2 linked regions of the Neodiprion lecontei genome follow. The protein of the gene in region 2 purifies or fractionates together with the protein of the main gene of each other region. This does not show direct contact. Links are inferred from orthologs where the notes say so. Each region holds a gene or a part of one and is shown on either strand. Other genes may lie near its edges.

Region 1 (6,393 bases), on a different chromosome or scaffold from region 2:
TCGCATTCAATATGTTATTATATTAGTAACTGGGAAAAGTAGGTTTGACTCCAATGTAGTGTTATTTGTAAATATTCGTACTTCTCATTTTTACCAATTCCTTTACCAGGTTTCCACCCCATGCCACGTAGCATAGCCATTCCATAAGCGTCAATTGGAATGTTCTCATAGTCCTCCAAGGTTGACTGAAATAACAAATTAGCTCTATGAAGGATATTTAGTTCTATTTTTTGTATCCAGAAGTGACCAAAACCATGGATTGGTAATTTTTTTTTGGTAATTTTCAGTGGAACCTAAGGTCTCTGACTTGAAAGAACTCATTTTATCCGTACAGTAGAAGTTTGATAACTTTGCAATAGAATAGATCAAGTTCAACATCGAACCTAATAGCTTTTGTACGAAAATGTTCATGAAAAACTTGATCACGCAACTACAGGTATGAGTAATATTAAAAAATTTAACTCTAAAATGGTGACTGGAAAAAAAGGACAATTGTTATAAATTTAATTAAAACTTGTAGTCGACATATAATATTACAAATGATACATATTGCTGATAAGAATCTCGATGCAGAGTTGGCAAGGTGCGCTGTTAATAAGAAGTAATGTTTAGGAAAGTAAAACCTTTTTATCGTGAAGAATTTGTCATTTGTAGCACCAAGTCTTCTGTAAACCAGTTTTCATAAATGTGACCAGTCAAAAATGCACTGCCATGACGTTTATAACAACCCAGAAATGCGCTTTTTGAAATATTTCTGATTGACCTAGCCTCAACAAATTTTCCAACGACGTTTAACAGAAGTTTGAATGTCCATCTGCAAAGTCGTATATTGTCGACTGTTTACTGGTAAAGTACTCACAGTAGAGGGGATATGTTGTTTGCATGCATGGATATATGCATGGCAAGAAAGATAATTAGGCGGTGATTCAGGAAGTAGCTAGTTATCGAGCTCCTACTATAAATATTTGAAAAGATGTGGTCATAAGGTATTCGGGAAATTATCAAGAAGGAAATATCACCAGAAAAATTTAGACAGACTTTCAAATATTCCTATTCCATTACTTTTGCAGTGTACTGATTTGATCTCATTTTTCCAAATTCATTGCGTTTCATAAATATTAAAAGAATCGTCAACGGTCATTAGAATATTTCTGATTTGTTTGACAGAAAGTATAATTTTTTATACTCACTGAACCCAATAAATTAACACCGTCATTCGAAACTCCAGTAAAAATATTCGTACTTGTAATGTGTGATAAATGGTTGCTCGGCAACTGTAGGAGACCGTTATACAAGCATGTGCCATGAGCGTGAGGTACCGTTTTGTTGGCACAACCTGCTAGGCTAAGCCTCTTGTCGATTTCTGTGCACTCATGTGTGGATTCGAATTACTATAGTTCCGAGGCAGTCAGATTTACGGAAAACTCAGTATGATAAAATATAAGTTTTAAAAATGCCTCTTTGGGAGGTAGATAAATTTTACAAAGCATTTGGTGTAGAAGTGAATATTACTAAGTATAATAAATTACCTCTTGTTCACCAGCTAAGGAGGCGGCATCTTTAACAGGTAAGGAAAAAATACTTGGGTCTTTGCCGTTAGTTTCTGTGCTATGCAGATCTTGTAGGATTTCTTGCGCCGCTTGCTCTTCCAATGTGTTAGGCAGTTTGGATTCTTCAACTTTGACCTCCTGTTTTATCGTTGCAGATTCTACAGGTTTTATGTCAGCTTCGTCAGTGTCCATTGCGCCAATTGGCTCCTTTTTAACCACAATATCAACCACATCTCCATTTGAATTTGTTTTCACTTTGGGCTCAAAGATATCTGCGTCAATTTTATTAACTATTCTATCATGCCAAGTTTTTGATCCTCGCATAGGTATCACCAGCGGTTCATCTTCTTTTTTATCTTCCAAACTGCAAAAGCCAAATATTTAATTTAAGGTTATGTTTACAAATATTGGTATTCCTGTGCTGCTAAAGTGGCGGCTTACCCAATAACCTTTATCGCTTTCTCATCCAGACACTCAATATAATCAATCTTCTTTTTGTCGTTTTGCACTATATTTTTCAAAACTGGCTTTTTTATCGATTTTGAAAAGCCGAACGAAATTTTCCTCACCTCGTCGGCCATGATTGACACTTGACAAGCTGATCGTGGCTTTAGACTGGTCTACGAATCATATAAATTCGAATTGCAACCATAGGCAGTGAGCATGGACTGCTTCTCTAGACAACAAATGTGTCCCACCCAGCCCCCTGACACACGCTGCTAAAAGTGGTTCGCAAAATGTCCCTCGATTCTGCCGCCAATCTCGACCACTAGTGGCGCTAGTAGTTGTCTGGCGTACCAAAGTCAGCCTGTCAGTAATTTTATATGTATAATATATCTTCCGTCACCGCCATGATCAGGAAAGCGCTAATGAATCGAGAATCCGAATAACGCGAACGTGGTATTTTTTTCAGGCTCATAAAGCTCCATGCTCAAGCTCGTTTTGATTTGGCTTCAAAGCACTTCGAAGTGAAGTTTCGGAACACATTGCCGTACACAAAGTTCTCAAATCACAAGGCAGAAAACCTGTTGAATTCCCGCGCGATTTCTTATGTGGGAGGTAGTATCGTGTTATTTATCAAACGATTCAACAATTTGAAGTAAATATTTTCAAAGTTTAATCGGTATCTCACCTGCAACATTTCTTCAATGACATGAACATATTATCAATTTTTTTCATTCTCTATTGCTTATTCAACTTCATGTCAATTTAAGAGGTTATAGTATTGCGAGCAGTCAGTAATGATTTGCCTCGTTAGCATTTATACTTCTATAAGACCGGGGATCGTTTGACTAGCAACAATCAGAGGTGAAAAATTTACTTTAAAAATCTATTAATATTTTCGACCGGGCAACTAATTTTCTTGTCAGATTGTAAAAAATTCTTGACGTGCTCTGGATACGAATATCATTGCAGGTATTTTACAATGAAAGTTATGGAAGTCTCCGTTGAAGAAAAGGATTGCACTAACGAAATAGTTACACCTCCCAGAAAAAAAATGAAGCAAGGTAATTTTAAATACTTTCATTTAATTTTGCGATTCTATCTATTACAAGAGCCAAATTCACAATTTTAAAGTTTTGGACTCTGGTGAACAACATCTTCAAGTATTTGACATGAGCCAAAAATTTTTACAAATCATTGTATTCACAACGCAATTGATTACACAACCTAAGGTCTGTAATAAATTTCAGCAAGAGATTTGTTTAAATCCTTTGTTAATTTTCAGCTCAACTGCCATTTCAAATGGTCAGTTCATTGGGGTCGCCCAATACAATCGGAAACAAGAAGAGGAAGCTAGAATCACCATCACCGGTGGAAAGCAAAAGTCCTAGGACTGGGAAGATAGTTAAAAAACAAAATGCGTCCAAAAGGGCCAAGAGTAGTGAAGTTGAAATTATTGAAGTGGATGTTTCGGATGTGGAAAATGTTTGTGATCAAGACAATGTTAAGGCGTTAGTGGAATTTAGAGAAGAAGGTGCAGCCAAGCATGCTGAAAAAAATCCGATTGATAGTGAAAGTGATGTCAAGAAACGTAAGGATTACGGTTCGTTAAACAGGTTTTTAAAAAAAGCACAGAGCAAAGAATCAAAGGATGATCTCCAACTTTTAGCAATGAGCGATTATGAAAGCGGCAGCAGCAAAGATAGTGATGCTTCATTGAAAGTAAAATTAGACTTACAAACATCAAAGGAAGTTCTCGAGCAAAGCTCCAAGAAAATCGTAGAGCAAAGTTCGGAAGAAACTGCGGAACAAAGTTCAGAATCTAAAAATTCTACAACTCAGATCAAAGAGAATAGCGCCGTCTCGACAAACATTACAGAATCTCAGTATAATATCGAATCACTTCAAAATACTGAGCAGAACACCAGTACTGAGGAGAAGAAGCTCCTTCCTGAGGAGACGAAAAATTCAGACACTGATTCAACTTGTCATCGAAAGGATAGCATACATTCTGATAGCATTAATGCTAAGAATGACGAATCGGATTCTGATACTGGTGGTTCATCATCGGACGAAGATGTAGACGACGACCCAGATAAGTCTAGTAATGAGAATACAGAAAAGGATAAAACTTTAGAAGAAAATGACGGAAGCAAAACACCTAGAAGTGAAAAGTCGGGTGTATTCAAAAATAGAAAATTAACTCCAAAACAGATTGAAAGACGACTTCAGAGTGCTAAGAAACGCGAAGAGAAGCAGCAGTTGAAAATGGTATGTTTCTTTATATTTACTTCACCCAAAGTATCTTTTGTGACTTTTATGACAAGTAAGTAGTTATAACAGTATTATAGTTTTTAACTTGTTCACTCAGGAAAAAAAGAAAAAGCGAGAAGAGCAGCGTGAGAATCGTAGAAAACAGAAGGAGGAGAAGGAGAAACTTGAGAAAGAACAAAAGCGGAAAGAGAAAGAAATGAAGGAGTTGAAAAAGCAAATTGAAAATGAGTGAGTACTAAATACATGTATAATTTCTATCTAGAATGTCAGAACTGTAATAAAAATACCATATACCTACTCGTGTCACAAGACATTGTGGTAAAGATTATAACAATTTTTTTGTGCAAACTTTATATTAGTTTAATCAGTCTTAATTTTTGCAGGCAAAAACAGAAAGAGAAAGAGGCAAAGGAGGAGGAGCGTCGGAAGAAAGAGGAAGAGGCTGAGCGTAAAAAACAAAAGGCTGCATCTAATTTTGCAAACTTCTTTGTTCCGAAAAAGCAGGAAACAAAAGCTCTTGAAGAAGACGGTGTAGTTAAAGATCAAAACTTCATGCCATTTGAAGTCAAAGTAGATATGAAGGTAGCTCCGATAACCAGGAGGAATCTTAATAATGAAACAAAATTAACTTTCGATGGATTGTTCAACAAAGGAGTCTTGAAAAACGAATTATATCTCAATCAGCTCAAACGAAATCGCAATGATGTCGGTAGATCCGGAAGAACTTGGCCATGTGAGACCAAGGATGATGTTGTTATCATTGGTAATTAACTATTATGTATCGATAGGCTTAGGTGCATTTCAATACAAAGTACCCAATTTCAATTCTTCTCCATCGATTTTTTATTCTGAACTGTCAGTGGCAAGGAATACCTTGAGTTTTTAATTTCCCATTTCGTGTCTATCGAAATAATATTTTTCCCAGAATTTTTCCACATAGCTTCGCAAATCCACTTCCAATGGTCTCTAAAATAAGAATGAGCATTCATTTTGCAAAGTTTCAGCCAAATACTTCCTGTTGTACATTTCGGCATGGATTTATTCCAGTTGCTTGTTTTTTATTTTTTTTTTTTTTTTAATAAAATTCATTTGTGCGGTTATTTAGTACTTATTTTTGTCATTGGAAAAAAATGTTAAACGAGCATTGTCAAACCCGTGGCGTAAAAAAATGTCATACATTCGATTCATTCAATTAAACTCAATTAGAAGTGAAGTATAGAGAAACCAATTTGAAAGAAGTAGTGAAAACGTAAATAAAAGCTATAAAATAATTATCCAGGTAATCAGTAATCAAATTGAAAAAATTGTTTTCACAGTGGATGGTATATGGATTATTAAATTTCAAAGGACAATGTCTACGTCAGTTACTACAAAACTCATTTGATTTATAGTTCAGATATATAAGTAAAGATAATAAAGTAAGGGTTATCTATTTCGCACCATGCAAAGTAATCTTGATAATATGTTATACAGATGAAGAAGATAGTTCCTCTGATGCGGTGGACCAAGGGGATGCCGCAGTTGTAGAAAAGCATCATCCCAAGTTCTTTATGTTCGCCGAGAATCGTCGACCACCCTTTTGGGGAACGTGGAGGAAGAAAAGTACGCATATAAAGCCACGGAAACCGTTTGCTAAAGATCCGGTAAGTACTTACAAGTTTTGCATTTATTTATGCGTTTTTGCTTTGGCTTGGCAGACATTTAGTCGGAACGTTAAACCAGAACCGATGGTTTAACCTTTAATACAGAACGTATGTATTAAAAAATGTGGAGAAGAAACGAACAAGATTAACATTTCAATGCATTGAATTATTTCCAAAAAGTGTATTACATGTTTGTCAGTGTCAATCGTGCAACTATCGGTTTTATATTCATCCATGCTAATAATTTTTAATTGCCATCACAAAAAGAACTAAAAGATATGGGTAGAATTATCTTGCGGGTGTTAAACCATCTTTTTGAACGATGAATTAAAAAAAAAAATGATGGCTACATTAGGGTGATCCTTACTTGGGGTGTTGATGATTTTTTTTCAGACTACCCCCCAAATCAACTATAAATAATTCAAAAACAATTTCCCAATTCTTTCAGATTTTTATATCAATTCTAACCCGTGCCTGTAAAT
Region 2 (3,600 bases):
GTTTTCTAGTTTAATCTATGCAATATTTACATTTTTTAAACATTGTCGGAACATGACTGCTGAAAATTTGCAAAAACAAATAACTACCCAAAAAAACTTCTATTCTGTATGAATTTAACACCTTTTAATAATCACTAAACATGGATAGAAAAACTTGTTTGCAATGATTACAAAATAACGAAATAGAATACTCTGATATTTTTTGGCAAGATATAAATATAACTACACATCATACCATGGGTAGCGTCCGGTGTTGGACAACTGTACAAAGTCTTAGTAAATGCAACATTTAAAATTCTTTTTTGTAATACCTGTACCAAAAGCGCTCTTCTATGCACCATCCACAGGTACTTGAAGGAGTCTTTTAGGCACCAGTGCCAGAAAACTTTCTCAAACCGCTAGCGGCCAATAGAGTTGCAGGCAAGTGTTCTTGTACCGCTAGCAGATTAAAAAAAAAATTGTCTCGTGCCCAGGTTTAAAAGACTTCTTCAATGCGGGTGGACGGTGCATAAAAAAATAAAACCAGAATTTTCGTTGCAGATGTAATAAAAAAGTAGCATGGGATACACGATCAAAAGGTGGCGATGTTGAGCTCGTGCTATGCCTTTGCACTCGCTGTGCGGTATTGCTACCTTTACATTCTTGTATCAAAAAATACTGCTAGATTTCCTATGCTTTATCTGAATTTTTCAAGTTTCGACATCAAATCAACAGGTTTCAATAAATCAAACCTGATCAAATATTATGAACAATTCTTCCAACTAATTCTTTAGCCTCATAGTGACATTATTGTAAATCACATTATAATGTTGAGTAAGAGAATAAACACAATAAAACTTTATTTAGACGTTTTTTAAACAGTATGAAAATTATGATCTATAAGTGAGAATAATGTTAAAACGAAAATCCATGATTTCTTATTTAATGCGTTTTACTTGAATTTATGATTTTAAATGGCTTCGGAGTTGGCGTTTTATCATATTATTTACAGTAAACTGAACCAATACCATTGAATAAATATAGGATGCGAGATAAGTAATAAACTTTATGCAGTAATTATTCATTGCAAATTGGTTGCATACATAGTACGGAAAGCTTTAACAATTATACTGATGATGTTTATTTGAAAATCTAGGTGATTGTCAATTCAATGTAATTGTCGTTGATATAGAGAAATGGTGCTAGGGACCAGAATAAATAACACATAAGTGAAAAAGACATATACAAAAATGATATAATGTATAACTGAAATGTTTCAGCATGGTATGTATGCAAAACTACTGGACCAGAAAAAATTGAAAGTATAATGAAAAATAATGCACATGTGCAAAATATAAAATAATGTTTTCCCACGTTAAGGAATTATTTTTCATTGCTTTACATGTATTTTGTCTATGTTATAAAACATTTTTCATGTTAATTGATCTTCTCAAGAATATTATAAACGAAATATACATCCATTTCATCTTAGTTTAAATGAGTGTATGTAAGACTTTTTGGATCAGCCCTTTCCCTACTTTCTATTTTCAAATCCGCATGAGCATTTCCAATGTTTCCAATGTTTAATATAATAAACTACAAACTACAGGTTTGAATGCAAATTTGTAATTCTCTCAATTCGAAAAAATATATATATTTCCAGCTTTTCCTAACTTTTCATGTGGCAAATAGAATTCTATGGGGTTCTAATGCTCAGTTCTCTCTAGCAACTAGACGCCAAGGACTAGTAACGAGTATATTTATCACAGTTAGCGAGCAAAGGGTTTTAAACGTGTAATTTCATTTCGATATAATGACTTTGAAATTTTTAAAGGTTTCCTCACTATTACAACATTCCCAGACCATATGACTATGATCATGTTTCGTTGGGTGAGGCTGCATCTTCGGAAACTCGATTAAAGATTGTTCAGTATCTATAAACATGAAGCAATTGCTTTGTCTAAAGTGGATGTAATGTATGAATTTCTATAGGGTACTTGTGGCATTGGGTTACATTAAAATAATTCAGTAGTTTACTTCATGTTTCAAATCAGCTGATAACCTCATCCATTCAAACAGAAGATGCGAACAATGAAAAATGAGCAAATAGAATTCATAATGGCTCGAACTCAGTGCTATTATCAAATCGCTCAAAGTTGGCATAAAAATGTACGTATGCTCAAAAATATTATCTTATACTGTTATATTGCAGTAAAAAATTACCGGCCTCTACAAATAACTAGTCGAAGAGGGACTCGAACGTTGCGCTCGACTTTGTGCAAAAGTAGATGCTGTGTATGTTCTGAAATATTTGAGAGATGCGTAGAATCGCGATTGCCTAGGAGCTGCGAAATTATAATCTTGCAAATCCGCGGTGTATGTAATACAGGAATAAATTTATTACGCGAGCTGTGAATGCGATTCGGAATGTGAAGCGCGTAAGCTAGTAAAAATACAAGTCTTTCACAAGGGATTTGGGATGTATCAATAACAACTTTAAATTGCTTAAGTGCGTAGAGATAGAAGAAATAATGTTTGATTATGGCTTAAAGTATCGCTCAGCACGCTCACCTCCGTCTTTGTCTCCCATTTGTGTTTGGTTTGAAATAGATATTCTGTACAACCAGCTAGTTTTAGGCTACCTCCAAACACTGCGCCCGCCAAAAAGACGCGAATGCTCCGAAACCGGGAACCGTCAAAGGCCTCAGCCATACATCGTTGAGGACATAGATGATGTACTCACTATAAATTAGAAGCACCTCTAGAGTGTTAGATAAAACGACAAATTTCATAGTGTTTTCTGGTGGCTGCTGTGACGTTGAACAACACTCCACGAAATTTCTTGAATGCTATACACTAGAAACTATCGTATAGGGGCTCTATTCTCGAGTTAAAGACCCTAGATATCGTATGCGAGATGTATGAGGGCAGCCCCCTGACACTCACCACTGCTCGTATACTAAAAAATTGTACGCGTCTTGTCCCCGTTTTTTAATTCCTCTACGTGGCGCTAGTAGACTCCAGGTAGACTTCCGACACGCTTGCTGCCCTCGCTGACCGCGCGCAAGCTCGTCAGGTAACTACTGGCGCCACTAGTGGTGGAACTTGGCGGCAGAATCGAGGGACATTTGGCGAACCACTTTTAGCAGCATGTGTCAGGGGGCTGTCTGAGGGTGTATTCCGACCTCCGTGAAGTTGGCCCCCCGAAGTTGTTATTTTTAAATCTAATTAATGCAATTCGTTTGAGAATCGTTTGAGAGGGTTTGAGAGTATAGAAAAATCGTTTGAGAGTTAATAGTTTTTCCGGAAAATTGATTTTAATTTTGGGTGTGAAGTTGGTGCATTAATTAGATTTAAAGATAATAACTCCGGGGGGCCAACTTCACGGAGGTATATCAATTAAAATATTAACTATCTAACAGTTTTTTTCTACTCTCAAATCCTCTCAAACGATTCTCAAACGATTAAAAAAAAAATTAAACGTCTAAGTCTATTTTTTGAGGAGATAGAAAATATGGGGGCCAACTTCACACCCAAAATTAGGATCAGGTTTCCGAAAAAACTATTAACTCTCAAACGATTTTTCTTTACTCTCAAACCCTCTCAAACGATTCTCAAACG

What was found.
Region 1: the proteins of chromatin assembly factor 1 p55 subunit (region 2) and chromatin assembly factor 1 subunit A purify together in Drosophila melanogaster (affinity purification with western blotting; 3 studies listed by BioGRID, with this or other methods). This does not show direct contact. The link is inferred for Neodiprion lecontei from reciprocal best matches to the Drosophila melanogaster genes Caf1-55 and Caf1-180.

What each region holds. Positions count from the first base shown.
Region 1 is NC_060263.1:21,172,016-21,178,408, forward strand, and holds the start of chromatin assembly factor 1 subunit A, read left to right. Parts: upstream 1-2,269; 5' UTR 2,270-2,858; intron 2,859-2,966; 5' UTR 2,967-2,976; coding exon 2,977-3,058; intron 3,059-3,279; coding exon 3,280-4,265; intron 4,266-4,365; coding exon 4,366-4,496; intron 4,497-4,651; coding exon 4,652-5,031; intron 5,032-5,741; coding exon 5,742-5,911; intron 5,912-6,393. Other genes in the region: G-patch domain and KOW motifs-containing protein, read right to left, coding at 82-185, 1,530-1,914, 1,992-2,131.
Region 2 is NC_060260.1:23,050,417-23,054,016, forward strand, and holds the start of chromatin assembly factor 1 p55 subunit, read right to left. Parts: upstream 2,690-3,600; 5' UTR 2,570-2,689; coding exon 2,551-2,569; intron 1-2,550. UniProt on the Drosophila melanogaster protein: Core histone-binding subunit that may target chromatin assembly factors, chromatin remodeling factors and histone deacetylases to their histone substrates in a manner that is regulated by nucleosomal DNA.